Linked DNA regions of Drosophila melanogaster. Changing the gene in region 4 together with the main gene of any one other region gives a genetic interaction. Each region holds a gene or a part of one and is shown on either strand. Other genes may lie near its edges.

Evidence for each region.
Region 1: of Galphaq (region 4) and rdgA, changing one suppresses a phenotype caused by changing the other (phenotypic suppression), as found in Drosophila melanogaster (3 studies listed by BioGRID).
Region 2: of Galphaq (region 4) and Gbeta76C, changing one suppresses a phenotype caused by changing the other (phenotypic suppression), as found in Drosophila melanogaster (one study listed by BioGRID).
Region 3: of Galphaq (region 4) and Camta, changing one suppresses a phenotype caused by changing the other (phenotypic suppression), as found in Drosophila melanogaster (one study listed by BioGRID).

Annotation. Positions count from the first base shown.
Region 1 is NC_004354.4:8,922,107-8,928,789, reverse strand, and holds the start of rdgA (retinal degeneration A), read right to left. Parts: upstream 3,607-6,683; 5' UTR 3,094-3,606; intron 1-3,093. Other genes in the region: CG43255 (uncharacterized protein), read right to left, coding at 4,416-4,823; CG12661 (uncharacterized protein), read left to right, coding at 5,172-5,567. UniProt on the Drosophila melanogaster protein: Required for the maintenance of phospholipid turnover within the photoreceptor.
Region 2 is NT_037436.4:19,684,541-19,691,183, reverse strand, and holds Gbeta76C (G protein beta subunit 76C), read right to left. Parts: upstream 3,548-6,643; 5' UTR 3,457-3,547; coding exon 3,388-3,456; intron 2,967-3,387; coding exon 2,521-2,966; intron 2,467-2,520; coding exon 2,265-2,466; intron 2,126-2,264; coding exon 1,996-2,125; intron 1,913-1,995; coding exon 1,826-1,912; intron 1,633-1,825; coding exon 1,526-1,632; 3' UTR 1,192-1,525; downstream 1-1,191. Other genes in the region: verm (vermiform), read left to right, coding at 1-678; CG8765 (uncharacterized protein), read left to right, coding at 3,949-4,189, 4,248-4,389, 4,538-5,226, 5,293-5,446, 5,506-6,352. UniProt on the Drosophila melanogaster protein: Guanine nucleotide-binding proteins (G proteins) are involved as a modulator or transducer in various transmembrane signaling systems.
Region 3 is NT_033778.4:9,443,488-9,450,353, reverse strand, and holds the start of Camta (Calmodulin-binding transcription activator), read right to left. Parts: upstream 4,309-6,866; 5' UTR 3,922-4,308; coding exon 3,843-3,921; intron 1,269-3,842; coding exon 670-1,268; intron 609-669; coding exon 80-608; intron 1-79. Other genes in the region: ced-6, read left to right, coding at 5,671-5,681.
Region 4 is NT_033778.4:12,610,951-12,620,859, reverse strand, and holds Galphaq (G protein alpha subunit q), read right to left. Parts: upstream 8,121-9,909; 5' UTR 8,014-8,120; coding exon of another isoform or gene 8,009-8,013; exon of another isoform or gene 7,981-8,008; coding exon of another isoform or gene 7,976-7,980; intron 7,294-7,975; coding exon of another isoform or gene 7,203-7,293; exon of another isoform or gene 6,515-7,202; intron 5,074-6,514; exon of another isoform or gene 5,031-5,073; intron 4,954-5,030; 5' UTR 4,564-4,953; coding exon 4,446-4,563; intron 4,321-4,445; coding exon 4,136-4,320; intron 4,074-4,135; coding exon 3,919-4,073; intron 3,789-3,918; coding exon 3,660-3,788; intron 3,405-3,659; coding exon 3,276-3,404; intron 3,066-3,275; coding exon 2,936-3,065; intron 2,874-2,935; coding exon 2,720-2,873; intron 2,657-2,719; coding exon of another isoform or gene 2,549-2,656; intron 2,418-2,548; coding exon 2,310-2,417; intron 2,080-2,309; coding exon 1,997-2,079; 3' UTR 1,877-1,996; downstream 1-1,876. Other genes in the region: CG45086 (uncharacterized protein), read right to left, coding at 7,203-7,293, 8,009-8,013; Amph (amphiphysin), read right to left, coding at 9,771-9,851.

The DNA.
Region 1 (6,683 bases), on a different chromosome or scaffold from region 4:
CACCCTTTAAAATTTGTTTTTTTCGTTTGCCCACCTCTTAAAAATGGTTTTTTCGATTTTTCACCTATTAAAAATAAATTTGTACATATGTATGTAATAATTGTAAGATGTGGCGTCAAAAGCACAGTTACTTACAAAAGAACAGTTATTTACATATTTACATACATTTTCAATATATCCATAGTGTTAATCATTCATGAATTGTAACATCAATTTTTCTTAATCATTGTTTCATTTCATGGAAAATATTTTATTCCAGAATTTTCTTGAGCTTGGAGGGTGTTGATAAACATACATACATTTTTTTGCATATATATTATATTGCAATATAAAATATTTTCCATGAAATGAAACAATGATTAAGAAAAATTGATGTTACAATTCATGAATGATTAACACTATGGATATATTGAAAATGTATGTAAATATGTAAATAACTGTTCTTTTGTAAGTAACTGTGCTTTTGACGCCACATCTTACAATTATTACATACATATGTACAAATTTATTTTTAATAGGTGAAAAATCGAAAAAACCATTTTTAAGAGGTGGGCAAACGAAAAAAACAAATTTTAAAGGGTGGGCAAACGAAATTATTTAGTTTTAAAAGGTGGGCAATCGAAATTATTTAGTTTTAAATGGTGGGCAAACGTTTTTTATTGGAAATTTTTATTTTAAAGAGGTGGGCTAAGGAAATTGGTTGTATTTTAAATGTGGGCAATCGAAAAAAAATTTTTGTTAAAGGTTTTTTAAAGGGTGGGCAAACGATAAAAACTAATAATAATGGTTGGGCAAACGTTTTTTGTTGATAATATTTGGTTTTAAGAGATGGGCAAACGATTTACTCTCTGATTAGACCGAGGTAAACTTAAAAGCCTTATATTTTCTAAAGTATAAATTTTTTCAAAATTCTAAAGGGTGGGCAAACGTGGGCAAACGATGTTATTGCGATTTAAAAAAAAAAATTTTGAAAAAAGCGAAATTTTTGATTTTCGAAAATTTTCGAACTTTTTCGAAAATTCATATCTCAAAAACTGGACGTGGGCAAAAAAACTAATTGGTGGGCAAACATGGGCAAAAAATGGGCAAACGATTCCAGCTTTCAAATTTCAAAAATTCGATTTTTCCGACCCCAGCTTCTTTGAGCTACCTAAACTGCCACACACAACAATGATTGATTGTGGAAATTTTTGTGGGGGTAAAAAATGGTGAATAAATTACCACACTGGTTGGTAATTGGTTTGGTTTGCAATGCAATTCCATTCGATATTGAAATTCCCAAAAATTGTTCAAATGGCAATTTCTATTAATTAACACGGTGCTTTTGGCAAAGGAAACACCCTTACAAATGGATATACAATCTGCAATCAAAATGCGATGCATACGTGTTTCCCCCTCGTTGCTGTCAAATAGCCCGCGGTATCTTTCGACCATTTTCATTCTCTTTTCTGTTTTTTTTTTTTTCTTCTTTTTTTTGTATTTTGTTTTCAATTTTTATGTGTATTTTTATTGGATTTTATATGCGAACCCAACCCCTGGGTCACGAATAAAAAAAAAGCGACAAGAAATGAAAATTGAATATTTTATGTGAAGCGAAGCAAACAAGAGCAAACAAAAAATTGTGGATCAACAATTGAAACATCGCGTTTTTATATGTACGCAAGACAAATGGGTAGCAATTTCTTTATTTCAGAAACAAACAAAGTCGCCTAAAACAAAAATCTTTAAACCATTTCAAAGCGCACACATTTATTATTACAAATATGTGCAGGCTTCATTCATGTTTATACTTTGGTGATTTAAAATGTAAATTCTTCGTATTGATTAAAAAAAAAATATATAAATTTAAAGTTTCCTTAGAGAAATTTAAATTGTATATTTACACTTGGTTACCGCGACGAAGTGCCTTCGTCGTTGAATGCAAACTTGAGGACAACAAACGAGCGGAAGCACAAACACAAATGCCACGTATACGCCACGTTGTCTGACATTTTCCCCTGTTACCGGGGAAATGCGAAATCAAAGATTGCCAACCGCACAGAGTGCCGCCTTTCGCCATTACGTTATTTTCGCCATTTCGCGCTCTTATGTCAGAGAAAAGCCGGTCACGCGCCAATACAAGAGCTGCAACATCCTCCAGCATGCAGTTCCTTAAACGCACCGATTAGCAAAAGGACACGTACACGAAGGATGCGTGTGCGGATGTCGTTGCGGATGCCAGTGCGGATGCGAATGTGGCAACAAGTTCGGCTAACGAGACTGGCTGGCCGACAAGAGCACACCCAAATCCTTAACCGGAGTGGCCTAAAAAAAACCTAAACCGCTCGCTTTGGCCAGCAATTTTCAATGAATGGCATCGTTTAATACAATTGCCCACACGGCGTATGCGTAACGAGTTTGTTTCGCCGTGTTTTTGCCGAATTTCGAACCGAAATTGCAGACGATTTTTCATTAAATCATCTTATTGACACACAGACATTCGAAAGTAGGGGGATACTCTGAGACAATGAGAATGTTGGTAATTGAATTTATACAGAATGAAAAGCAAAGGGCATTCCACGGAATTTTATTCAAAATTACACATTGTTGCACACATATTTGTGGAGCCTAAAAAGAGCTCGAGCTTTAAATAATTTTTAAAAAATTACTGCTTTAAACTAAGATATATTAATATATTCAAGCAATTCGAGTCAACTATTTTACATCTGTGGAATTTTGAAACTCTTTGTAAACTATAAAATCCGATTATATTTTATGATATTCCAAAAAAACTCATCAAATTCAACACAACAAGCTGAGAACCGAATTCTTGATAATTTCCATGCGTGATTCTATTAACTGAAGCATACAATACAATATTCTGTGGAGCTTTTCCTAAAACTACGAATATTTGCCAAAAATTGTAGCTGAAACTTTAAATAAATCTGGGAATCCCCATTTGAAGACTAAATATAAAAACATTTCCGAAAAATCACAATACAAACACGCTGCTCACAATCACACACGGCAAATAAACTCTCACATCACGAAATTAATCAACAAATTTTCCAAGGAAATTTTTCAATGAATTTCAATAAGTATATTCATATTTACCGTTTCGGTTTGCCGCTTTAGTTTTTCTTTACAATGGAACGCACTTTTCAGTCGTTCGAATCAAGTCAAAATTTCGTGCACATTTTTGCGTGCTTTTACACGTTAACAGTTAGGATTCAAAAAGCACAAAAACTAGATCTTAGTCTTACATAGTTTTAAGTTTTAAGTTTGTATCGTAGCTTATATTTCAAGTATTGAATAAATACTTTGGAATATCTTTGAATATTTTCGAATATTTGTACAAGTTAATATTGGTTTAGCACAACACTTAGAAGCACAATCAAAAAAATAGTTACTTTATATTTAGATATTGTAAGTTTTTCAGTATGTTTATGTTTTTCTTATGGTATGCGATGTTTTTGTTGTGTTTTGGGCGATGTTGGTGTTTTTTTTTAAGAACTTGGTAGTTCCAGAGAGTTTTGGTATTTTGCTTTGAAATGTTTGGCCTGCTTGGGCTGTTCTGCTATTTAAATGAGTTATTTATTTCTAGAACAACGCGCCTCGTCGACCGTTCAAATGAAACTGATGCGAAGGCGACGCATTGCCAGGAATATAAAGCGACCGGGAGCGAGAGGGCGCTATTGAGCATAAGCGCGGGAGCGAGCGAGAGGCCAGCAATCGGCCGGCAACTTCGGCTGTGGTCGGCAAAAGCCGAAGTACTATAAACACCTGTAAGCAGCCTTCGATGCCGGCGAGAGAGCGAGAGGGAGAGAGGGAGGGAGGGAGAGAGAGAGAGCGAGAGCGAGCAAGCGAGCGAGTGGCCGTATCGTTCTCACTCCCTCACCCTTTGCCGCCCAACGCCCACATACTCCCGCTCGCCCCGTCTCTGTCTCACACCCTCTCTCGCTCTCGCTCTCTCTCTTTCGCGCTCGCATTCGGAAGCGGAAGGAAACTCAACAGTTGGCACATTATTGAGTGGAGAGAGGAGCGGAGAAAGTAGAGCGGAGAAATGGCGAGAACTGCGGAGAAAGTGCGGGCGGCAGCGCTACTCTTTGTTTTTGTTGTCGCTGTTTGTTGCCATCAAATTTATGGCAATCATTTGTGCGGTGTTTTAAGTTGGTCCAACACAAGTGCCCAAACTATCGATAATTATCGAGAGAGAGAGAGAGAGAGAGAGAGTGATGGCGTGTGAGGGCGATGGAGGAAGTAAGGGATTAGAATAATCCAAACGATTATCGTAATGATATTGTTAGCTATTAGCAATCAGATTGTTTGCAATATCTAAAACAATTTAAATAAACGATTTTATGGCATTAATTATCGGTATAATCGGCAATATTGTTATCGATCAATATCATTCCTAACAACAGGAAGAAAGCTGCTTATATTTTTTTGAAAAATATTAAATCGAAGAAATCTTCAAGGAAATCATTGGTCTCATGTTCGGTGTCGACCTCGTCGAGTAACTTCTTCAATCTTCGTAATAGATCCTTGTCCTTTTCGAGAGTATCCAACAGTTGTTCAGCATCGCTTTTTAATAAGCCCAATTTACGTAGTAAACGTATCACACGCCTTTCAAATGGCGTAAAGGACTGACGTTTGAATCGGTTGTATCTCTGCGGCAGCTTCAAGGATATCTTGTGTTGTACAAATTCCACAGAATTCTCTTTATGTTTAGTAGTCGTTAGCTGCTCCTTAGATATCCCGTAGAATTCCTTATCACGACGTTCAAGGCTTAATCCAAAAGCGGCCAAAAAGACCAAGAGCCCAAAGATATGCAAGTAATGCATTTTTAAAAACTATGCACGGCCACGTTGTCCAACTTCTACTTATATACACTTTCAGTAGTGCACTTATCAGCAAAAAACAAATTAACTCAAACTCAATTAGAGATAGCTTCACACTGAGTTATGTCAATGCCGTGACTTTAGTTTAAAAATTTGCCCAAGAAGAGTCAAGAACATGACCTAACTTACTTAACACTGCGAGTCGCCCATTTCCTGCTCATATATTATTTAAATTGAAGAAATTATTACAAAACCAAAGTAGCATTGCGTTTTGCGTAACTCAAATAAGGGCAGTCAAACGAAAATTACCAACCGACTTTTATATTTTCCATAAATTTTATACTACTCGAGATGGATTGTGACAATTCGAGTTTGGAGGAGAAGCGAGAACGCGTTGACAATGCAATCCTAACCGCCATGGAGGATCTGGATCGGGATTATCTGCGCAAATTGCAGATCGAGATGCACAGATGTGCGACCGCCTGTTGTGCGGATGCGGACGCGAATGCGGAGGCGGTGGAGCGGTGCATCGATCGCTGCCAAATCCGTTTGACCCGATCACGCTGCTTCGTACAGCAGGGTATATCCGATTTTGAGAATCGCCTAGAGAAGTGCATCCAGCAGTGCCGCCTCAATGGATCCGATTATAGCTTGGAACGTTGCACCAGCAACTGCGTGGATAGCCATGTGGGATTGTTGCCCGAAATGTTTAGGGCTATGCGAGATACCCTGGAGAAAGGTGTTTAGCAAAACAGAACACTTATGGTTTGATTTAATTAAAATTATATTCGTTGGATTTAAACAAAAATGTCTTAATTTATATTATTTTATATTATATTTATTATTCAAAAATTCATTTAAAAAATATCATGGACTGTGAACCACCGATTTCCTTAAATGCCATCAAACACCTCTTAATTGCTAAATAGCGACTTAATTAATGCCAAACGGCAATTAGTAATCTAACACCAGTCGCCAATCGGCCGAGGAAATGTTTATTGATTTATTTACTAATTTAATCGATTATGCTGCAATTTTTGGTGACCCAAAAACATGCTTTTTATAAAGCAATTACGAGACCTCATTCCATCGAAGGATAATGGCCCAAAAGCAATACAGTCCACAAATTATTCATACGAACATGTTTCGTATGGTCTGTGATTTATTCAGCAACATAGAGAAAAACGCGCCGCATGTAAATGCTACCAATTGATTTTTTTTTTTTTTTTTTTTTTTTTCCATTACGATGATGTTTTTATTATTTGATCAACGCACTGTTACCCATGCGGCAACTTAATTTGATCTGCTTAAATTATTTTATTTTACAATGTGTCTTGGTTACTTAAGACTAACAGATTTTTAATCCTAAAAATGATAGGGAGAATTATAATAGTTGATATAACATAGTAATTATTATTTATTTGATTATTCTAATGAATTTTAAAACTAAGACTTTCTAGGTCAAAACCAGGTTAGGGAGGTCATGAGGGTGGTGTCGCTTGAGTCTTCTTTTGACTCTAGTCCGAGGGTCAGCATTGACCACAGCTGCAGTTCCTAGCTTCCTTGCTAGGCTGTTGGGGTGTACTCCAATTGATACGACAATAGCAATAATCTCCTCGTCACGGGCAATGTGGCATACTTTCAGGCGAGGCACACCAAAGTTTGGGCGCCAAAAACGGCGCACAATTGCAGCAGAGGAAGGAAACGGCAAGGAGAAACAAGGAGGTCTTCAAATTGGTTCGAAGCAAGGCAACGAAGTAGACATTATTTGAAAAAGGCATCTACGACCTGTCCGTCAATGAGTGCGCTGCAATTACCGTGGAAATTGGTCAGCGTTGCGTCTGCCTGCCTGAGCAATCGATA
Region 2 (6,643 bases), on a different chromosome or scaffold from region 4:
AACAAGCAGTTCGAGATGATGGCCGATCAGTTCTTCGTGTACGACGCCTCCATCACCGCCTCCCTTGGCCGCGTGCCCATTTGGCCATACACCCTGTACTTCCGCATGCCGCACAAGTGCAACGGCAACGCGCACAACTGCCCATCGAGGAGCCACCCCGTGTGGGAGATGGTCATGAACGAGCTGGACCGGCGCGACGATCCCACCTTCGACGAGTCCCTGCCCGGTTGCCATATGGTGGACTCCTGCTCAAACGTAGCCAGCGGCGACCAGTTCGCACGCCTGCTGCGCCACAACTTCAACCGCCACTACAATAGCAACCGTGCTCCACTTGGACTCCACTTCCACGCTTCGTGGCTGAAGTCGAAGAAGGAGTACCGCGACGAGCTGATCAAATTCATCGAGGAGATGCTCGGCCGCAACGACGTGTTCTTCGTGACCAACCTGCAGGTGATCCAGTGGATGCAGAACCCCACCGAGCTGAACTCGCTGCGCGACTTCCAGGAGTGGAAGGAGAAGTGCGACGTCAAGGGCCAGCCCTACTGCTCTCTGCCCAACGCGTGTCCCCTGACCACCAGGGAGCTGCCCGGCGAGACGCTGCGTCTCTTCACGTGCATGGAGTGCCCCAACAACTACCCCTGGATCCTGGATCCCACCGGCGATGGCTTCTCCGTTTAAGGCCGTCCCGTCGTCGCTATCCTTCCATCTACCCAAACAGGAGAACAACTCACAGTAGTTCCACCGAGAGTCTGATAAACTAAACAAACTGTACCAGCTGATCTATGCTGATCCATCTACAGAATACTCAAATCGTTGCATCCTGCTTCCTGTGTGATCCTAAGCTATCTCTATCCATCTGTTATTTATGCGACTTTCATTTCTATCTCTCTCTCTCTCTCTCTCTCTCTTTCTATCTATCTTCTATCTATCTGTATACTTTCGACTATTCTGTATCTGAACCTGTATCTTTATCTCTCTGTTGATTTCAAAAGTGATTTGTTTTAATTTACCTAGCTGCCTCTTTGACCAGCTCAAAGACAATTTCCACAAACAAACAAAACCAAGCGCCAAAAATCGCAGCAGCAAAAATATCTTCGTAATTGTATAAGTATTTTTTATAAGAAAAATATAAAAAATATATAAAAAAAATTAAGTTGCAATGGAGTTTTAATGGAGGAGACGTGTTACTTTGTTGTACTATTCATACATTTTATTTCGCACATCCAATTGGCACTTGCTTGTTATTGGAGGCTACTTTCTCTAGGTAATCAAGTATTCAATTATTATAATAATATTCATACGCACGTTTTGCTTGCAAATTAGCACTTAAAGGGGGCAAGCTATTCTTATGTTCGCAAGTTTAACAATAGATTTAATATTGTATTAATATTGTTAGTCTGCACTGAGAACTATCCTTATTACTTGCAGGCTATGGATATTACGTATACGTAATTTGCAAGCAAACTGCACGCATAAACGTTGTCTTCGCCTTTGGACGACACTGAACCCAGATCAGAGGCACAGATTAGAGCCACAGACGCACTTGCTGATCCCAACTGGTGGACGCCAGGCACATGCCATTGGGGCACAGGCTGATGCAAGTGATGCGGTTCTCGTGACCAGACAGTGTGCCTGTGGAGGAATGGAAAGTGACAAATGGTAAGTAGAAAGTAGAAAGTGGAGAAGAAGGTCAGCAAATCGATGTAAGTCAAGTGCCAGCCTGAGCATTAGCTTCGCCTCCATTTCCCCGTTCTTTATCACCGAATCCCCCAAGTGCAATGGATATCCAATACCCAATACGAACTACCCAATTCCCAATACCCACCCGTGTGCCGCTGCTTCATCGTGTCCCACGAGTGCACGTTGCCCTCAATGCCGCCGCACATGAGGTAGCGCCCGCTGGTCGATAGAGCTGGTGGGGACACAAAATCAGATTAAAAACCCGTCAAAAGTCAAGGCGACCGTGTTCCACCAAGACGGAGAACGAGAACCCACCGCACGACGTGAAGCCAGTGTTCTTCTGGGGCGGTTCATACTGGGCGATTTGCTGGTCCGCCCGCAGGTCGTACATGCGCGCCGTTTGGTCCTCCGAGCAGGAGGCGAACCCGAAGCCACTGGGATGGTACTGCAACCGATAATGATAATTGGGTGGGTGTAATGAATACATTTGTATTAAATTACAAGTACTAAATAGATTAGCTGCTTATAGTTGTTCTTGGTAATTAATATAAGCTATTATTATTAAAACATATATGTGTACTCACGCAGACGGATGACACGTCCATGTCGTGACCGAAGAACATCTGCTTGTGGCCCTCCTCTCGCACATCCCACAACTTGGCAGTTTTGTCCACAGAGCCAGTGATATAGGTCTTCATATCTGGCGAAAGCGATAAGCCAGCGATATCACCAGCGTGTCCATTGAAATCCATTGTCTTGACACCCTTCTCCAGATCCCAATGGCATCTGTTGGTCATAGGAAACTTAGATTTTACTCCAAAAAGTTAAGCAAAGCCCTACATTTTCATATCTCCCGAGCCGGTGATCAGATGGCCATCGTCGAGGAAGCGACAGGAGCTGAGGAATCCCTCGTAGCCCATCAGCTCTTTGACCATCTTGGCCACTCCGGAGGCATCGCGATTGTTCACATCGTAGACGGTGCACTGGTTGTCCATTCCTCCGCAGGCCACAAAGTTACCCGACGGCGAAAAGGCCACCGTCATTACCCAGGCGGATCTCAAGGGGATGATCTGCACCTTGTTGGCGGTCCAGGTGTCCCAGATGATCAGCTTGCCGTCCAGCGATCCAGTGACGCAGTGCCGCGAGTCCCCGGCAAAATGCACCGAATTCACCTTGTTGATGTGGCCCTTGAGAATCTTCTTGGATGAGAATCGAATCTTGGGCACATCCCCCATGTCGCCGCATTTATCGGCCAACGTGCAATCAGCCTTGCTTTTTTGGTCATCCTGAAAGCAAAATCATAGTAATGAATGACAATTTTTATTACAAGAATTTCCAGAATAAATGTTAGAGACGCATACAGTTTTCGATTAAGTTAAGTCACTTAATTTTTTCAAAATTGGAAATAATGTGTTCGACTATTATCGAGATGAAATATTATGGGAGTAGTTAGCACTGAAGTATGAAATCTGGCAAGATATTTAAAACCCAATCATATTATCATACATATTCCAAAAAGTTATATTAATATTTTTTTGTTAAAATTAAATTAAGGACAACGAATTTCTTTTTAAGCTGGCTATCGGTATTTTTAGAGTATTGTTATTTTATATGGGGAAAACTTTTTTATGTTACTTTTGTTGTTGCTATATTTATTATCTGATATTTTTAATTTACTTCGCTGTACGTTGAGTTTATTTAATTCACCTTAAACTTCTGTATCATGCCATTGATTTCGTCGTAGAGTTTTTGTGTTTCTGGGTCAATTTTCGGCATTATGGAGCATTAATTATATAAGGACGGCTGCAATATTTGCCAGAAGAAAGTTTCTAGTTTTGAACCGCACTGCGTCGCACAATAAACTGAGAGTTAAACAATTTGTTTTGCCTGAATGTTATGATGTTTTCTTTTTTCCTTAGCGGTAATGCAATTAGCTAATTGGATTAGCCGTTAAATACAAATGTATAGAAAGACGATTTTTTGGCGCCAAAATTTTAAAATCGAACATATGAGCGGGCTGCCAACTTATCGAAATGGTGTGCGCCTCTTGCAGCACTGGACTGTTCAGGGTGACCAGGTCGGTGGCCACCAGATGTTCCACTCAATGTAAAAAAGATGCTTGTATAGCCAAGGCGAAACTGGTCCCTCTAATTACACAACTCTCCAGGATCAGCTGTTCGGTCACCTCATTTTTGTTTTCCCTGTTTTTATTTATAACAATTGCCCATATTAACACACCGCCAGCATGGACACCAAGTAGGGAGCGCCATGGAGACGCTGCCATGTGCCAACCAGCTGCAGGAGCACCAGCAGCCGCAGCAGCAGCACGTGAATCTCAGCATAGATCCTAGTCTGGGTGAGAATGTGGTCAGCATTCCCAAGGAGCTGATCCTCATTTCGCTGGTCTCCCAGGAGCAGTCGCTATACAATCCCAAGCATCCCCACTACCGCAGCACCAAGATCAAGGACGAGAAATGGCTGGAGATTGGCAGCAATGTGGGTTGGTCCGGTAAGTGAACGTTTAAGTTTCCCCACCAAAAAGTTGGCACTTAATCCCATTTCCACAGACGTCCAGTGCAAGTCCAAGTGGAAGGCCATGAGGGATCAGTACTGCCGGGAGCTGAAGCGCGCCAAGGCCTGCTCAAAAGCAGTGAAGTGGAAGTATTTCAAAGAGCTGGATTTCCTGCGTCCATATGCGCTGGCAAGAAAGTAAGTAGCACGTGGAGCAATTCAAGTTGGCACCGCCATGCTGACTGCCAATGCAGACTATACAGCATATGGAGCTATCTATCACTAGTTCTGTTCTTCAGGCTTCCAAATGATATGTCCGTATTTAATTAAACCCACAATTCTTTAGTTACAGAGGGAGATCTGGTCAGACTTCCAATGGCGCCGTGGGTACGGTGACCCCCTTATCGCTGCCCATGACTACTTCCTTCAGCAGCAACAGCAGTAGCCAGAATCTAAACCTTTCCGGCAGCATTAAAATTGAGGATGCCAGTGCATCCACGCTGCTCGACAGCTGCAGCTTCAGTTCGCCTAGTTCAACTGATAAGAAGCCGGCAGCCACTTTCTTGGCAAGCCATATTGGAGCCGTGCTGCAGCAGCAGCAGCAGCAACAGCAGCATCAGCAACAAATGCACTCGCAGCCGGAAGCGAACTGGAACTATCTGACGGATGCGGGAGGCGGTGCTACTCCATCAATCATAGTGCAGTGTGGAACCGCCAACACAACCACGGTGGTAGACACTCTCTACAACGAAATAGTGGACTGCGTCAATGCCGCCAATCAGTCGAGCTCGGCAGCAACAATCACGTCTAATGTATCCACCACTTCAGCAGCGCACAATCAATCGACGAACGCCGAGGAGGAGGACGACGATCCCATACACACATTTCTCAACATGGAGAGCTACTTCGAAAAGGAACTGATCACGCTGATCCAGCAGGAAGACATGATCTACAACTACGGCAACGAGAACTATCGCAATGCCAAGCTCAAGATGGAGGTGTGGGAGGAAATCGCCAGAAAACTAAAGAAGTCGGGTATGTGGTTGATAAACTTAAACAGCCGAAGGATGAAGATGATTTTTCAAGCATTAACTATTTTAGTGAAACAGTGTCGACTGAAGTGGAAGGCTTTAAGGGACCAATACGCACGCGAACACAAGCGATTGAGGACACTGATGCACATAGATGCCACATCGCGTTGGAAGCACTATAATTCGCTCAGTTTCCTTCAGAAGTACATACAACAAAAGACGCTGTAAGAGAGGTTTTGTTTATTTTAACATAATCATATATTGATAACTTTTTACTCTTCAGGGAAAGCGATTCGCAACTCAGTATGCTGCTACCCAAAAATGACCCGGTGAGGGAACTCGAGGACCATATGACCCAGTCTCACTCACCGCCCACGCAGCAGATCACCCTAGAGTCGTCTTCGTCGAATTCCCAGCTTAACTTGCCCACCCTGCCTCATTTGACGGGACCACACAAGGCTGAGCAACAACAACAACAGCAACAGCAGGAAGAGCAGCACCAACAGCAACAACAGCATCAGCAGCAACAACAGCAACAGCAGGCAAGTGAACTCTGTGTGGCCACCTATGACGACATGGACATCGAGAATTACATCAACGGAGATGTACACCATAATGATGATGATGTGGAAGACGATGAGGATGAGGAGATGGAAACCACAACGGCGGCGGAACAACCTCCTCAGCAGCAGGATCAGCATGTAATGACTTACGATCACGAAGATGGACCCGTTTACATGGCTGTTCCAAGCGTTGGCAGTGCCATGTCCAAGCAAGAGCAGCTCAGCGACGGGGCCACCAGCCTGGAAAATCAGCAGCTTCAATCAACTGCGGAGTTCCAGAAGATCGAGATACAGACTCCAACCACGCCTAGGTACCAGAATGCTGCCACTACGCCAAGCTCTACTTCCACGTCTCGCTATCACTCGGCGCCCATTACGCCCAGCAAACCCACCCATATGGAGTATCCCTCCAGCAATGGCCACAACTCCGGAGAGGACGATGAGATAGGTGCGTTCTTCAAGGCTGTGTCCATGAAGATACGCAATGCTCAGCTGGAGCCGGTGGCTTTTACCGAACTGCAAATTGATATTCTGCGTGTCATCAACGAGGCACTGAGGAATCACTAGCGCTGCTGGTGACCTTTGGCTACCTGGAGAGGAGTATGATGCTTGAGTGGACCATCAACGGTTTCAGGGCGACTCATTCTAGACATTAAGTGTTATTTCAAAGTGTTTTTCTAATTTCTAGACGAGTTGATATCTTTGTAAATTTCTATACCCGTTACTCGTAGAGTAAAAGGGTATACTAGATTCGTTGAAAAGTTTGTAACAAGCAGAAATGTTTCCGACCATATAAAGTCTATATATTTCTGGCCATATCCGGCCATATCCGTCTGTCCGTATGCACGTCGAGATCTC
Region 3 (6,866 bases), 3.2 Mb from region 4:
TGCAACACCTGCCGAAAACCCCGCCAGCAATTTATGCGCCGCATTTGAAATTCGGTGATACCAAATCCTCGAGACTTACCGTTCCCAAGTGGCACATTCGTTTGCGTTGTTGTCGATTGTTGCTGTTGCTGCTGCTGCTGCTCGCTTGTCACCGCGTTGGACAATTTATTTGATGTTGTCGCTGTGGCCGGAACTGGCACCGCTGTGGTTGTGCTCGTCGTTGCCTCCAGCTTGCTTGCTCCATTAATGGCCACCGTGGTGGCGCTTTTTCCCAGCCTTAGTATGGTGGTGGCCGTAGATGATGTTGCTCCGGCTGATGAGGCTCCCCCGCTAGTGGCTGTTGTGGCTGCTGCCGCCTTGAGCTTGTGCAGCGCTCCTGCCACGCCTTTGGCCGCCTTCGTGGTGCGCGTCACGCTTAGAATACTTGAGGTGGCAAGACTGTTGCCATTTGGTGGCGAAGTGGCCATGGAAGTGTTGGTTGCAGCGGTCGACGCCGTGGAGTTGCGTATGACCAGTATGGATTGAGACTTCTCCAGACGCTTCAGCGTTTGCAGCACAAAGGGTGACTTGCTGTCGCAGTTGCTCTCGGAACTCAAGCTGCGTGTGGCCTGTAAAAGTGATGGAACAAGTTGGTAAAATACAACACAAATGTCACTGCACATCTCTTACATGTTTTAGCATAAAGGGTCTCTCCACCATCTTGGTTTGCGTGGCGTTGGCCTGCTTGGAACGCTCTTGGGCCTTTAGAACGCTCTCCAACTGACTGGCATTGATGGGGGTTTGCAGAAGGATCGTGTTGCTACTGGCCTCCTTGTTGTTGCTGTTGGCCACAATGGAAATGGTGGAGCTGCTGCTGCTGCTGCTGCTGCCGGCTCCACTCGAGCCCTGCACAATGGTCTTTCTAGCCACCGTTGTGGCCGTGGGCAGCTGGTTGAGCGTAATGGCCGTGGAGGAGTGACTTTTCTCCTGCTGCTGCTGCTGTTGTTGTTCGCTGAGCAGGCTAAGAATGTCCTGCTTGTTCTGGATGATGATCTGGCCATTTTCGTTGCGTGTGCCGCGCAGCAGGATGATGTTGCCGCCACTCGTGGCCTGATGCTGCTGCTGGTGTTGCTGCTTCTGCTGTTGCATGGCCCCGATCTTGAGCTTGGCCGCTCGCAGAGTCGTCGTTGTACTGGTTGTTGCTGCTGGCTTTGCTGATTTCGCTTCATTGCTGCTTAGCTTGCCACTGCTCTGCGATCGGATCAAGACATTTTTGGAGGTGATTTGGCCTAGAAAGGAATAACAAAAGTAAATCAGTCTTAAATAATCAATTCAATGTACATACAATATATAAAAGGTATTTATCCAGGTAAAACAACAAAATTAAAAATGTACATCCTAGAACGTCTGGATGTATAAAAAGAGTAGATCTTATTTATTTATTTGTAAGTTATCTAAACAGCGTGTTGGTTTCATTTTTGGTGTAAGTGCTCCTGTAACATTTTGTTCTCGATTTCTCGAATTGAGCAATTTCGAGTGGCCCCAAAAAACGGACAGCCCCATTGTATGCAAATTCAATGGAAACTTCATAAGCGGCGCAAGATTTATGACTCCATCTTGATCGAATTTGGAAAGCCTTGCATTAGAAGCGCATGTGACAGGGGAGGCAGGAGGCGTGGCTGCCATTGTTGCACTTTCCCAGGGTCCGTAAAAATGAACTGAAAGGGACGTCGAGCATTACGTATACGCGACGTATGCCTAGAGCGGTCAGTGGCTCGGACACTCTATTTTGTTGGCCAACAAATGGGGAGGATGGGCGGTAGCCAAACGCTAAATCAAGCGAAAGACGACATGTTTATGGCAGGGACGAAGGACTACTTAGCCGACGAGCCCCAGCACAAAACGCAATAAAAGTGCAACAAACAAACAGCGAGTTTTCAGCCAAGAAAGGAGGAGAAAGTAATGGGGTAGGTTCACGGGTGTAGGCAAATGGGGGTCTCTGCCCTGGCATGCGTTGCCAAATATAGACTCTCAAGGCTGAAGGCGACACGGAACGTAAAGTGCGCGCCGGAAACATTTCGAAATGTAGCCTAAACACTTGTCCGGCTCCCCTGCTTTTCCCGCCTCCCCCCGCCGCCGGCATCCAGCACCCTTTCCTGGGTATTTCCACACCCCCAAAAACCATGTGTGTTTGTTTTCGCAAAAACGTGCGGGTCATAATTAGCCGTTGACGCCGCCTTCAGTCGGCTGTGCTTTGGGGAAAAGCGGAAAAGCAGAAAAGCGGGCAGGGGAAAGCGCCACATGCGACCATCTGACCCCAAGTGGACAAGTGTCTGCGCCCCCTTCGCCTTCCTTGGAGTGTCTGTGCAAAAAGGTCGCCTGCCGCCAGGCAAAATAAACCGCCTGAATTGGACCAGGATCGGAATAGAATAGGTGGGGCCACTGGCTGTTGGCTGGCCATCCATTCGAGCGCACATACTTCATTGTAATGTATGGCAGACCAGCCACAACAGCACGCAGATCCCAGGATTCGGGGCACTCGGGGATCAGGCAGCCGCGTAACACATAAAACACTCTTGGCTGAAGCTTCGCATATTTTTGCGTTCGTCGCGGCTTTTGATGTGCAACGATGTGGACAGTGGGCACGACAATTGTTAGTTTAAGTAAAAAAAAAAATATACAACATATATATAATAATGAAAACCAGAAGATAAAAACGGAATTTTGAATGGAAAATGATTTTGTTGTAATTATTTTAAAATTAATTTGCTTTTAATTCGTATTTATTTTTAAGGGTTTTTCTCATGTATAAATGCTGTTAAAACCAAATATTCCTATAATAGGAAATATCAATTTAATTGAAATATTTTTTGTTTTTAATTCTTTTCTTTAAATTTTGTTTGATTACAGGATTTTGAAAAAAAAAAATCGTGCTATATAATCCCACTGTTGTACTCCACGTGCTTTACTCCACTTGCTTAGCTGGGAAACTGGGGGGGAAACAAAAGTTTCTGGGTAGCTGGACAAATTGCAAGTCTATTGAATTTTTATTAGAAGCATAAATCAAAAAGCGTTAGATTTGCCAGCTGGGGAAAGAGTTCGATAAATATGTCAATAGATTCTGCACATAGATAGCCGACAAAGGGTTAAGAAAGAGGACAAATCAAAGATGAACAAACCACAAGAACAAGAACTTTGATAGGCTTTATCAGTCTGCAACTGATTATTACTCTGGGTCTAGACATAAATATTTATTATTTAAATAAAGTGGTGAACGTCTTGGATTTTTTTGTGACCACTTTCCAATCTTTTAAACAATCATTGTTTATAAACATTTAGGTCACTAGTTTTGTGTTTGGAAAAGAAATGTTTCCATTTATCTTATCTATACTCATGAATTTATGACCAACTAAGAGTGTGTTATTAACACTTCTAAAATTCGAAGCCCGCCAATCGGTTTTTACGAGCAGAGTTGCCATATTTATGTTTAAAGAATCCAGATAACAGCTGATTGCGTCCATAGGAATTTCCAATTAGACTCTCCCATCTTTAAACCAGCTTTGCAATACCGTAGATGGGCGTAATACTAAAGAGATTTCAGTATTGACAGGAAAGGCGTAATATGGCACAGCGGCCACCAATGGGTTAATGGCCCAAAGAAACCCCCAACAACGTGAAAACAAAACGCAACGCAAAGCGAAACACAACAAAACAAAAACTAATTGGAAAACCAATATCGAGGAGAGCACGACTATCAGGTCGAAAATCGGGAGATACGTGGGCTACAGCACAGATATAACTTACATATATGCATGTAGAAGAGGGATGGGTGATAGGGGTAGGGGGAGTTGGGGCTAACTTACTTTGGAGTTTCAGTGTGGAAGTTGAATTAGAAGTAGAAGAGGACGAAGCGCTGGTGGAAATATCGGGCACATTTTCCATGTGCACAGCTTTAACAACCAATTTTAGAATGCACTACTCTCTTAGCGGTTGGCACATTTATTTCGCTTTATTGAGAATGCATTTTCATTTTTGCACACCAGCTCGCACGCACACACACACAGGTGACATGGGCGCTCGCACACGCACACAGCGACACCGAAATCGCAGAACTCTGGGATATCGAAAAAAGGTAAACAAAACTTTTTCACTGCCTCCCTGTGCGCAAGCCGTGGAGTCCCTTGGCGGATTTCGATGTGCTTCAGCTGGACGATGCATAAAATGCAACAAAAATCAATAATATCACCGTTTCACACACGAAATTATTAAAAAAAAACGATAGCGAAAATATTTTGAGCTACTCCAAAACTGTGTGCATGTCAAACTGTCAAACATATGACGGCAAAGTTGCCAGATGTTGCAAAGGGCGAGCTCCCACAAAACTTAACGACAATGATTTCGAATTTTTTAAAATTGATAACTTATTATACAAGAAAGCAAGAATACTTTACAAGCCAATAACCTTGTAATCTTAACCTTACAAGTCTATGTTTGATATAAATTAGTTTAAACTATATCTAACCATCTGGCAGCACCCCAAGTGTTCCACTTATCGGCTTATCGGTCAAGATGACAACTCCAACATTCAATTATCGGAAATCGGGCACTATATTTAAAATATCGTATTGAATTTCAAATCCGGGTTTTGTTAGTCATTTTTTATACGTTTTATAATTATTTTCTTTCTGTTGAATTTTAAACTCCGATGTATCCCGCCGTGTCCGCTGTTTACCGCCGACGTCCAGCTGACGGTTCCACCCTTCTTTAACTTACATATGTATATGTACATTTCAACGAATCTAGTATACCCTTTCAGTCTACGAAAATTTTAATCTTAGTTCAATCAAATGATGTATATTAGTATATAGGTACATAGTCGATGGCCTCGGTTATATTATCTTAAATAAATAAATAATGAAGGATTGATGAATTTATAATGCATATTTGTCTTAAAAACGCTGAGATTGGTTTGCTTGGACGTGAGCAGGAAGTTCTATTCCTGCGACTTTTGTTAGAACCCAAGGAAAATATTACATACCATTCTAGTTCTTAGCTTAGTTCAATCATAAAGTTATATGTCAAAATCCTTTAAGAGGAGCATGCAAATGGGAAGTAAAATGGGCGTAAAATGTAAATGACATTTTGTGTAATTCGCATATGTACATTTGTATATTGTAAGCTATCAAAATATATGTATGTTTGTATGTATGTACAGCCCTTGAGACCGCCCATCATTGATAGGCAACGACTTTCGCCGAACTTTCCTTGGATTTTTCCAGCAGCCGACCCCGCGGTTTTCCGACCCCGCCTCGCTTCCCTCCGCTTCCCGCGACCAGCGGAAGTCTCGGGGCTCTGGCTCTATCAAAATCAACGGGCGGGGCGACTGAAGCGAACACAGAATAATTGCCATAGCTGTGTGCCAGTGCCAGTCAGTGCCAGCAGTTTGAAATCGACGACAACATCAGCAGCAACAAGCATTGCAACAACAGCGACGGCGCGGTGATAAGTCGGCTGCTGGCTGTATATTGCCGCTGGCTTGTTATTTTATTGTCGCTTTTGTTGCACATTGAAAATAATACACAAAATAATTGAATTACTCGAAATGTGTGCATGTCCGTGTGCGTGCCACTTGTGTATGTATGTGTGTGTGTCGTGCCTTTATGGGGGCGTTCAGGGCCCCGCTGATAAGCGATGATCAAGAGGTAAACGAGATAAGCGCTGCTCATTTGGAAGCACAGGCAACACGCGCTAAATGAACCCGCCAACTTGATAATCCGCGATCCCAGAAAACAAAATATTTGTCTTCTGAATTATCTTGTAATGATAATTTGACAGTTATTGTATATTAAGAAGGTCAATGTTTACTTATGGGAAGCATAATAAAGCTGAAATTAGAATTTTATGTTTATATCTATAGTTAGGATAATATGATATTCTCTCAATATTGCTACATTACATTGCTGGCTATAATTTAGGCATTGGAATTAATCCGAATCGCGTTGCTTGTTTGATTTGCAGCTTTGAGTTTCTTATTTACATATGTATATGCATTTTGTGGCACTTTGACAGTACTCCCCACTTTTGATTTCCTACAGTGTTCCCCGTGCTCGTCGACATGTGATAAGGAGCGTGAGGTGGAAACGTGACTCTCGGCGGGGCGGGCATCGGCACGTAAATTATGCTGATGACACCGGCTCCGCACCCAGGCTCTGAAAAAGCTGAAAAGCCCGAAAAACTGAGCGAGCGATTGCGCTTGAAAAATACCAGCACGTTCCTACGAGCTGCAAAGCAACAAGAATAACTGGCTTCGGCTGCCATTTTATTGCAGCGCACAAATATTTACAATACCATTTAATGACATTTCGCCTTATAAAACAATGAGTGAGAAACGTATTTTCTGGTTTCATGCATTTTATTTGGCTAATTGGGCCTTTGAACTCTATTGCTTTGATGATGAAAACGACGCCAAGATAACGTCATGTGCGACGAAACAAGCATTCGAAGTCACGCCCCCTCAGGACTCCCCTCAGCGCGCCCAACGAGCATACGCAGTCAACGCCCCTTGGCGACGATAACAATTCAAAAGAGACCCCGATCAAAATGCAATAGCGAGTTTTTAAAAGCCATTATTACTTGCAAATGGGGGGCAGATCGAACGCCCCCTCAATAAGTGCACATTGAACCATGTTGTTGGTGCCAGTTTCGCTGAGCCCTTCTAGGTTCTCCGTAGTACGAAAAATATCTATGTACTTATGTATAAAGCCAAGTCTCGTAGACATTTCTTCCAAGAAACACAATGTCGTTAAACAAACCTTTTAAAAATCCACATATGACTTCATTAGTTTGTTGCAAGCTTATGAATACATTCAATGTAGTTTTAATGAGTG
Region 4 (9,909 bases):
TTGGATTTTTACATAAATAATTTGTTGATGGGGTTTTCTATTTATGTGCGTCTCATTTAGTTATCCTTGTATATTAAATTAAACTAAAATTATAAAAACAAAAACAAAACACTGAACCCACTTGGCCAGACATCGCCGTTTTGGCTAGCCGCCAAAGCGAGTCCCTTGTTGCATACATTAAGATCTATAAAATAAGCAAACAACTAACAAAGTTAATGTAAAAAGTACGAAAATCAAGCTATTTTTGATAACAATGTTTCGACTGAAATTTTGATGGCAACAAAAGTACGTGAGAGCAAAACTTTCCCTTCTGATAGTTGTGTTTCTCGACCAGTGGTATATCGCATTTGATTGGATTTAACCTGATGTCTGATTAAATATCAATAAGTTGTATGGATTCTGCTGTTGCATGTTGCATGTTGCATGGGTGGTTATCGACATTTTTTACAAACACGTATTTAATGAATGCTCCATGTAAATGTTTCTGGCTTTTCTCATACAAATCTAGCTCCTATATCGTTTTTGTATTGGTTTGCATGCGTTTCATTTCTTTTCTTTTCATTCTCATGGTATTAATACGAATCGTAATTTACAATGAATGGAGCTCGCGCAATGCAAATTAATCAATTTTTAAATTGTTACATATGCGTTTATGAATTATTATATCTGCTTTCATGTATAGTTAAATATTTCGGTAAACAATAGTATCAATATTTACGGTTTACTGTTTAGCTTAATAAAAAATACAGTATTATCTGTGATTTCGTTTTCATTCATTTTATCATTTTATCAGCTTATCATTTTCGGTTTATTATTTTTACACGCCTATATGCCCTGAAATTCTAATAAGAAACTTCTTGCATATATAATTCTTTGAATATATATATATTTCGGGGGATTTTTACGCAAAAGTATGTTTTTGTTTTTCTGTAGTTATTTAGTAAAATGTTGCTTTATTATGTTATGCTTCAGTACGACAAAGTTGTTTCAGTTTGTTGTTCCTTATCAAGCTTTTGATTAAATTTACGTTTCATATTTTGTGTTTCGGATTTTATTACAAAAGTTACTATAGTAATAAATTTATTTAAATATTACAGAGTGACAACAACTAATTCGGACGATATTTTGTATAAAAACTTTTCAAGGAAATCATGTTTCTTGTGTAGGAAGGAAAAACTACCATCAGATTTATTCAAATCTAACCAAAAACTCTATCGATTGGGTACCAATCATTTCTGGCCACTGTCTTTTTGACTTTCAAGAGTTTTCCTAGTCGAAACAAAAAAAAAAAATTCACACAACGTTTTCTGAAAACTTTGCCGCTAGAAAGAATAGAAGTACTGCAATATAAATAAATGTTTTACGAATCGTCACATTCGTAAGAGAAACTCTGCCCTGATTATTTGTTGTCACACTGTATCAGATTTTGTGTTATTTTTCTCTCAAATTAAAATGTATACATCTTTTTCATCATTCTGCTGATGCGGTTTTAGCATCTCAGTTTAGTATTCTATTTATGCTACAATTTTCGGTTCCTGATGTAACAAACGTAAGAAACTTTCTCGGGTCTAATTTATGCCTAATTTTCGGCCACATTCGCTCGCTTCTCAATTCTTCTTTTATATTTAGTAAATATGCGAAAAAGGAATTATATGAATGTGTATGTGTGTTTGTATAAAAATCACAAAAATAGTTTTTCGATCCAAATCCAGTTTAGACCAAATTATATTCCTTAAGGTTCGATTGCAGAATTGTGTCCTTAACAGCTGCAAACACAAACCTTATATTTTCCGTATCTAGACAAAAGAAAAGAAGGCGTAGTTAGTTTGATTTTGTCAAATAATCCTATGATAGTAAACTGCACACATTTTCCATTCACGATATTTCACAGACTATATTTAGTTTTTATTGAGGGACTTTGAAAAACAAATCATATACATTATAAATAAATAATTCATTTGCATTGCCACTTTTCCTGATATCCGCACTGCCCGCCTTAGCCCAAATTGAATTCCTTAAGTGCATTTTGCATAATTGTATCTTTGACAGCGCAGAACACAAGTTTGATGTTTTCGGTATCTGTTTACCAAGAGATCGTTGTTTTATTAGAAATCAATTCGTTTAGGTTTGCAAATTTGACTAGCGATACACAACTACTCTCTACTCTAGATCAGCGGCAAAAGCAAATATGCAAATGTAAATGTTTTTCACACAAAAGTTTACCTTTTGACCAGTCCTTTTTAGGCTGAAAACTAAAATCACATCCACACACAATTTCTGACCAAACACAGAACTGGCAGCAAACTTACCTGTAGCACACGTGAAATGAGAATAGATAATTTTTTCGGAATCTGGATTTAAATCTACAAACATTCGCAGTATAAACTCTCGGGCCGTTATTGCATCTCGCTGAGGACCTGTTTCGATAAGAAGGCGAATATGAAGTTACGTCTAGCGTGGTTCTACGAAAACTAGCAAATAATCTACGGATGATATTGGCGATTTAAGGCAATTACATAGATCTTAAGTACATAAGGTGAAAATCCACCTGTGGCCGTTGTGAAATGCGAATAGCATTGACGTTCGGGATCTGGATTGCAGGCCAAGTACTTTTTCAGAACGAACTGTTTGGCCGCAGCGTGATCCTGTTTTGGACCTGGTTCATTGCCGCATAAAATCGTACATAATTATGGCCACCTTTATCATGCGGAACACTTACCATCGTATTCAGGAAAATAGTCTACCAAATGCGAATACATTATTTTCTCTTCCAACAAGTCCTTCTTATTCAGGAAAAGAATAACTGACGAATTTTGAAACCAAGGGTATGTAATTATAGTACGAAATAAAGCTTTAGATTCCTCCATTCGATTCTGTGAAAGCGTACAGGTGATTATTTGTTTAAAAAAAATATATTCATAACTTGAAATCATACCTCATTATCAGATTCAAACAAGATTTGATCGTACTCCGATAGCGCTACCAAAAATATAATTGATGTCACATTCTCAAAGCAATGAATCCACTTTCTTCTCTCGGATCGCTGACCACCGACGTCTACCATTCTGTTTATTAAGAAAAATATATTATTGTAAGAAAAGTTAACCAACAAATTAACTACATATAAGGCCAAACATACAAGCATTTAATTCTAGAGCGCAAGCAACGAATCTATTAGTAACTAAATTGTAAGAAATCGTCTTCACTAGCTTTACAATGACCATTTACATTACTAGCCTTGCCGGTAATTACCAATTGATATTTTTAATAGATACCTAAACACAATGCCATCCAAATCGAATGGATACTCAAGAATGCCAGTTGTCGGCACTCGAGCACGCAGAATATCCTGCTCGGTTGGCAAGTAATCAGCCTGTTCAATTCGAGCTAGATCGCTCAAGTAGCTAAATTAGATAAATTAATACACTTTTAAAACAATGAACGGAACCAAAAGCAGTGGCAAAAATAGTTTTGCAACCCGTCTCAGTCCATCAATTTCGCTGAAGGCCCTAACTAAGTCCCTGAATTGTTTGCTTGAAGAGACATGCGCTAAAGAAATTCTTAAGTGTGTAGTTACAAAGTACAAAATAAATTTTAACCATAACCAAACAAGAGGTCATGCACATGCAACGAAGTAAGGGTAGAAAGATGGTATGTACCTAAATCTGATTTCTTCTAAATCAAAGGGATACTCAATTATCCCTGTTGTGGGCACACGAACTCTTAAAATGTCTTGCTCAGTGGGTAAATATGCAGGTTGAGCCACACGATCGAGATCCTTCAGATAACTATACATAGACAAGATAATTGATTTAGTTTGCATAGTCGTTTCGGTAGTTTCAGTCTCTTCAGTTCGTTTTTCGGTCATTTTGCGGACGGATTTAAACCGTTCCCTTTGCATGCCAACGGTTAACTTACTATTTGGCTGAATCAGTCAGCTGATATTCCCTACGACGATCATAGCACTCCTGGATGCCAGCATCGTCCCAAAGCGTTTTGATGGCATTCAAGTATGGATCCTCGAACGTGGTAACGGTCTCATAATCGATGCTCATCACCAGATCGGCCAGTTCCTGTGGATCGTAAGATGTTGTTTAAGATTCAGTGACTTCAATTAGATCAATGTTTCACTTACACTATGCTCTCCCTGGCCGTAGGAAATCTTCAGCATATCCATGGCCTTGATCATTGACTGCATGGCCATGAATATGTTCTGAAAAACCAGCTTGATGTACCCACGCTTGTCCTCGTCCGAGTAACCGCTGCCGTGGATAATACGCATCTGTTTGATGAATGTGGACTTCCCGGACTCGCCAGTGCCTGGGGATATAGGATTGGAAAATATATATAGCCATAAGCGGCGGGCAAACAATGCAATTAGCGAGGCGGCTTCAATTGCATTAAGCCAGGCTAAGTGCAATCGAAATGGGCCATGCTCCACTTACCCAGTAGTAGCAGTTTAAGCTCGCGGCGCGCATCTCTCTTGTCCCGGCGCAACTGCTTCTCGATTTCCTGATTGATGCGCTTTTGTTCCTTGGCCTCCTCCGATAAACAGCACTCCATGCTAACTAGATTTATAGACGCTTTCGCGTGCTGCTGCCACTACGCTCGACAGACCGTTCCGTATATAAAATGTATGCTGTTTGGATGGTGGGATGGTCTCCTGGACTCCCTTCTCTGGACCCTCGGACACCTAGCTAATTGGTTGTATGGCGGGCGTTGAATTCACCCGTTCCAAGTTATAGATTCTGTTGTAGTTTCGATTGGTGCATTTGTACTTCGGCTTTGCTCGCTCTGCAGACCTCCTCCAGCGCTTACGATCCAGGCTCTCTTTGGCTATTGCTATTGCTAATTACGGGTCTACGCTAAGTTCTTGACCAGATTTCGGTGACTCGGAGGCTGAGAGTGATGGTTACTAATGAACAAAGACCACATCGAACGATCCAAGAACATCTGCAAGGAGACAAAGCTTTGATTTAGTGCTTGCATAACCGAACTGTAGGATCTATCCAACTATTGCTGCTACGGACCACCACAGTTGTTGGCCCAACGAGAGTTCGCCGCGTTGTGTCCCGTGCTGACAATTAACATTTCATATTTGCTAGCCTGCCCCACTAGCTGGCGACGTCGATGACGACGTCGGATATAGATTGCCCATGGCTACCCATGACTACCCCGGGACTTCCTCTGACCATGGCATTGGCTTTGGTTCTAAGTTCTGGGCCTGCTCTCTCTGCGCAGACCTGGGATCGCCCTCTACCAGGTGGCAATAGATTGAGGAAGCGTTCCCCACAATGCCCCTCAGCCAAGTTCAATGCAAGAAAGCTGATTTTGGAAAATATATGGCTTCGCTGGCCACAAGTTAGCGAGAGTGTTCTCCTATTGGGTGGACCAAGCAGTCTATGGATAAGAAGAATTGGCATATCATTCTAATTCGGAAATAAAAAAGTCACATACCGAAACTTATGATGCAAAAACACAGCTCTATACACAAAACTGGAATATCATTGCATAAACTTTAAAACTCTTAATGTACTTTTATCGTTAAAAGATATGAGTCCACCCGAATCCGCGGTTCATTCATGGGTTCAGCATAGGGCATGCCTATAGAATATAGCCTATAACCACTGGTGCTATTTCCTCTCTTTTCCAACCCCTAGTTTATATATCGAGTGATGGCTAATCCAATTTCGTTTGGCGAACACATTGACATGGGTCGAGGTAAGGCTTTCAGCATGACCACTACCAAATATCGATGGAATACCTAGCAATAATTTTGACAAAAGTCTGACCAGGAGAATTTGGCGGGCTCAGGTGGGCGAATATGGAGATCTGGATAATGATGGCTAGACGCATAGTATTCGGGAGGATTAGTGGGCTGCACTCGGAACACATTGCTCGCTGAGCAAAGCCACAAAATCGAATTAGCAGTGGCAGCAAAATTCAGGGGCAGGGGCACGCAATTGGCGCAATGAAGCGTTTTTTAACAATAGTTTGCCAGATATATCATGCCACCAAATCAGAGGGAGATTTACCTACCGCGAACTGGTCTTATCTGCCTTACATATTGTATATGCTGATGATAAACCACTCTGAGATAACGTTTGATTTGACTTCTTAATCTTTAGACGACTACTGCTCTTCTGAAAATCACTGTTCTAATGCAACCCATTTCCGAAAAACCATTTCTAAGCCGGAAATAGCTTCACGTTACTCATGCAGTTCCTTATCGCATCCTCAGCCTATTTTTGCTGGAGAATTTATGAGCTCATATTTTAGATACAAAAGTACCCTTTCATTATGATGAAAGCATGGCTTTTACACAAAATAAATATATTCGAATGGATTTGAATAAGATGGATGACAATCCATTAAACTCGCCTGGAGAATAATTCGATTTTTGGATTATAATATATTTCGGCCAGTTTTTAGTGGCAACCAACAAGTGGTCGGAGTCAAAAATTAACCACGAAATTACGATTCTTGTATTCAATGAGCATTCAGTATTACTTACTTAACATTACGGAGACACGGGACTAAAGGTATTCAGACGAGATTCTCCAAAAAGATGTTCCGGTTATCGTCTCGATTTGTTTTAGCTACCACTATGTTATACAAAAAATATTGAATTTCGGGTTTTAGTACGCCGATTGAAGTTCTTCCGGATTGATCGTGTTCTTTTAATTTTTGTTTTTGGTTCCCTGCCGATGTTCGGTCTGTTTTAAATATTTTTAGTTTAATCACGCGATTTGCTTTGCGGTGCGTTGGTTGGTCTTACGTTTTTTAGTTAGCTTAAACTAATTTCAAAAGCATTTCGTTTTTAGTTGGTTTGCGGTTTGGAAAACATTTGTTTTTAAGGAACGTGTGTAGTTGGTTATATATTTTTTACTGGTGCTTTTTAATATAAAAGTTACGATAACGTCTGTTCGGCTTCCTTTTAATGTAAATGTGTGATACGATACTATTTATATATGTAGATATATATCTATATATAATTTTCCCTTTTTGCTTCTAGTTTTCGGTGTGTATGAGTGCTGTTGTTGTTGTTGTTCTTGGTTTTTAACGTTTCTTCTTGTTGTTGTTGTTTTTAAACACCAGTCTGTAAATGCAACGAAGTTTCAACAAATATTCATTGTAGTGTAATTGAAACGGAAAAGTATGTACGACGACAACGACGACGACGAGCGGTCTTCAAATTGATTTCACACGAAACACTTAGTGGCTCCTTTTGTATTTAATTTTCTGCATATTTTATGCTTCTTGTATTTGTTTATTTTTCTGTATGCAGTGGAACTGCAAGTAAAGAAGAGAGACAGAGAGATAAGGAGAAGAACGATGGGGGGGGGGGGTGGTATTATGGGTGGTAAGGTGGGAATATGCATTCCGGAAAATCATCATCATACTGGCTAAGGTAAACACACACGACCCTCAGCTACCATTTTTTTTTTCATTTTTTGGTTAGCCCACCCGTTTTAAGCCCAAAAATATGCACAATCCACTATGTAGTTACGCGACCCCAACTAACTTCTCGCTGGCATGCACCGTTTAGTGGCAAAAGAAAACCACATTGAGTTAAACAAACTATTTCTTTTTTAAATTTCTCAACTTTTTTCCTATTCGCAGTGTTTTTCTCGGGCAAGCAGTGCGACTTGCTGCGCACTGCTTTACGAACGAATACACACAAATATAAGCGAGGGCGTTAACGAAACGAAAAAATTTTGATAGCAATGCGATTCGAAGATTTCGCGATTCGATTCGCCGTTTGTTTAACAATTATGGGGGGGCCTTGCTTAATGGCCAGCACTGTTTGGCGAAAAAATACACTTTACACTGGCATTTCGGGGAACGTTTTCGGTGCTGCTAAATTTTTTTTTTGTCGAGGGGGGGACTTTTTCGGGTGGCTGCCAGGCGGCTGCGGATGGCGACCGCTGGCTGGCGGGGAGTCCGTTTGACGGGGATCTTGCTCGAAACTCACAACATATTCGATTTGGCATCGCTCGCTACTCACAACATATTTAATTTTGCATTTTTCGCTAACGTTGACGCACGACCCGACTTTCGATAGCAGGAGGCGTTATTTGTCCGAACCTATCGGCCCTATCGTTCGTCGATATCGATGGTCAAACCAATCGGACGGCATTTGAACTAGTGGTGGCAAGATATCGATGATGGAATAGATGCTCTTAAATCAAAGTCTTCATTGTATTACATAAGGAAGGAGTTTTATTTGCCGCATAATAACTAATAGAAGTGGTTTATAACAAATAAAAACGGATTTCCTGGCAGTTCAGCTTAATTTGAAAATATATTACTTTTGGTATTTTTTAGTTGCCACCCCCACCACAACACATGTCGGTGTTGCCATACGGATTTCTATTCATGTGTGTCAATACACATTCTTAGCAATAAGGTTGGCAACGCCTTACATCCTTCAAATAAGGATGGCAACGCCAGACATCCTTAAAAATAAGGATGGCAGTGCGCCATATTCTCATAATTCAGGATGGCAATGCCTGATAGCTTTAGGAAAGACTGAAAATGTTGTGTCCTTTTCACTCTCTAACAACAGGGAATACACTTACCATGCACTTCCATATTCGTTAAGCTGTGACCCGAACCAATGACTATGATCGTAAATTTTAAATAACTAAATATATGTGTGTATAATTACCATTTAGAACATAAAAAATGCGAATATCGTAAAACGCCGGTCAATCGTCAAATTTACAAGCACTTTCTATCTTCGAAATCAGAAGACATTGCCCGCCAAATCAAAAGACTTGTATTATTTAATCTATGTTTTATTGGCTTTCTGTAAATTATTATCATTTGTTCAATATGTTCATGCGATAAATAAGTGTTTAAATTAATTAAATAAAATTAAAATAATAACTTTACAGTGTGTGCACAATTTAAACAATTATTTCGGGTTTCGTGTGATTTACAATCGAGTTAAATAAAATAAAAACATCGAATCGATCGGTTAGTGACTATTGGATTGTGTTCGCGTTATAAAGCTGTAGCTAGTTCGAGTCTCTCAAACGAAAAATTAAAAACCAAAGTACAAATTAAAGATACACGTAATCGCTAAACGTTAATGTTGTTACTTGAAACAATTTCCAAAACTTCGGGGACCACAGAGGAATTACATCTGGCCTTTTTGCATCGCCCCAAAAATACATTCAATTGACTATAAAAAACTCGTACTACATATTTGCAAAATTCACAAAATACAAAAGGTTCAGGCTGGCTATCTCCTCCGACTTTTGATTTGTTTAACAATTACTCTAGCTCTCGAGTGATATGTTTTACATTTGTGGTTTGCCATTAACAAATTACAAATTAGATACGTTTTGTTCGCATTAATTATGAGCACAATAATAGGATTAACAAATAATATATGTATACGTAGGTTTATGCTTTAGGTTTTCTTGAAACTTAGAACTAAAAAATAATGTTTGAAACATTTTCAAAATATTCTCTCTCTCATTCCTCATCTGTGTGTTCGTTCTTCTTTGTGTTAACAATAACAATTTTATGGTTGGAAGCACTGCCCTAACGAACAATCGCTATAAATGGATTGCCAGTTACCGAATACATTTCACAAAACAAGAATTTATTAATTGGACAAAAGCAAAAGCAGCGCTCACAAAGAAAATTTGGCCAAAAGTTTGTATTTGGATTTGGACCTCCGTTCGTAAAGATTTTTATGGTTGATCTGAAGTTGCTGATGGTTCGTTGCTAGCCCAGTTGTTCCCCAGTTTGTCGCTTCAGATGGGACGCGTGAAGTTGGCGGGGAAGAGTCCCTTCTCGTTGGTGCCCTCCTTCTGACCCATCAGCCAGCCTTCCTCCTGTAAATTGGCAATAAAGAACTGAACTCAATATAGACAGGAAGTGCTGAGATCTGCA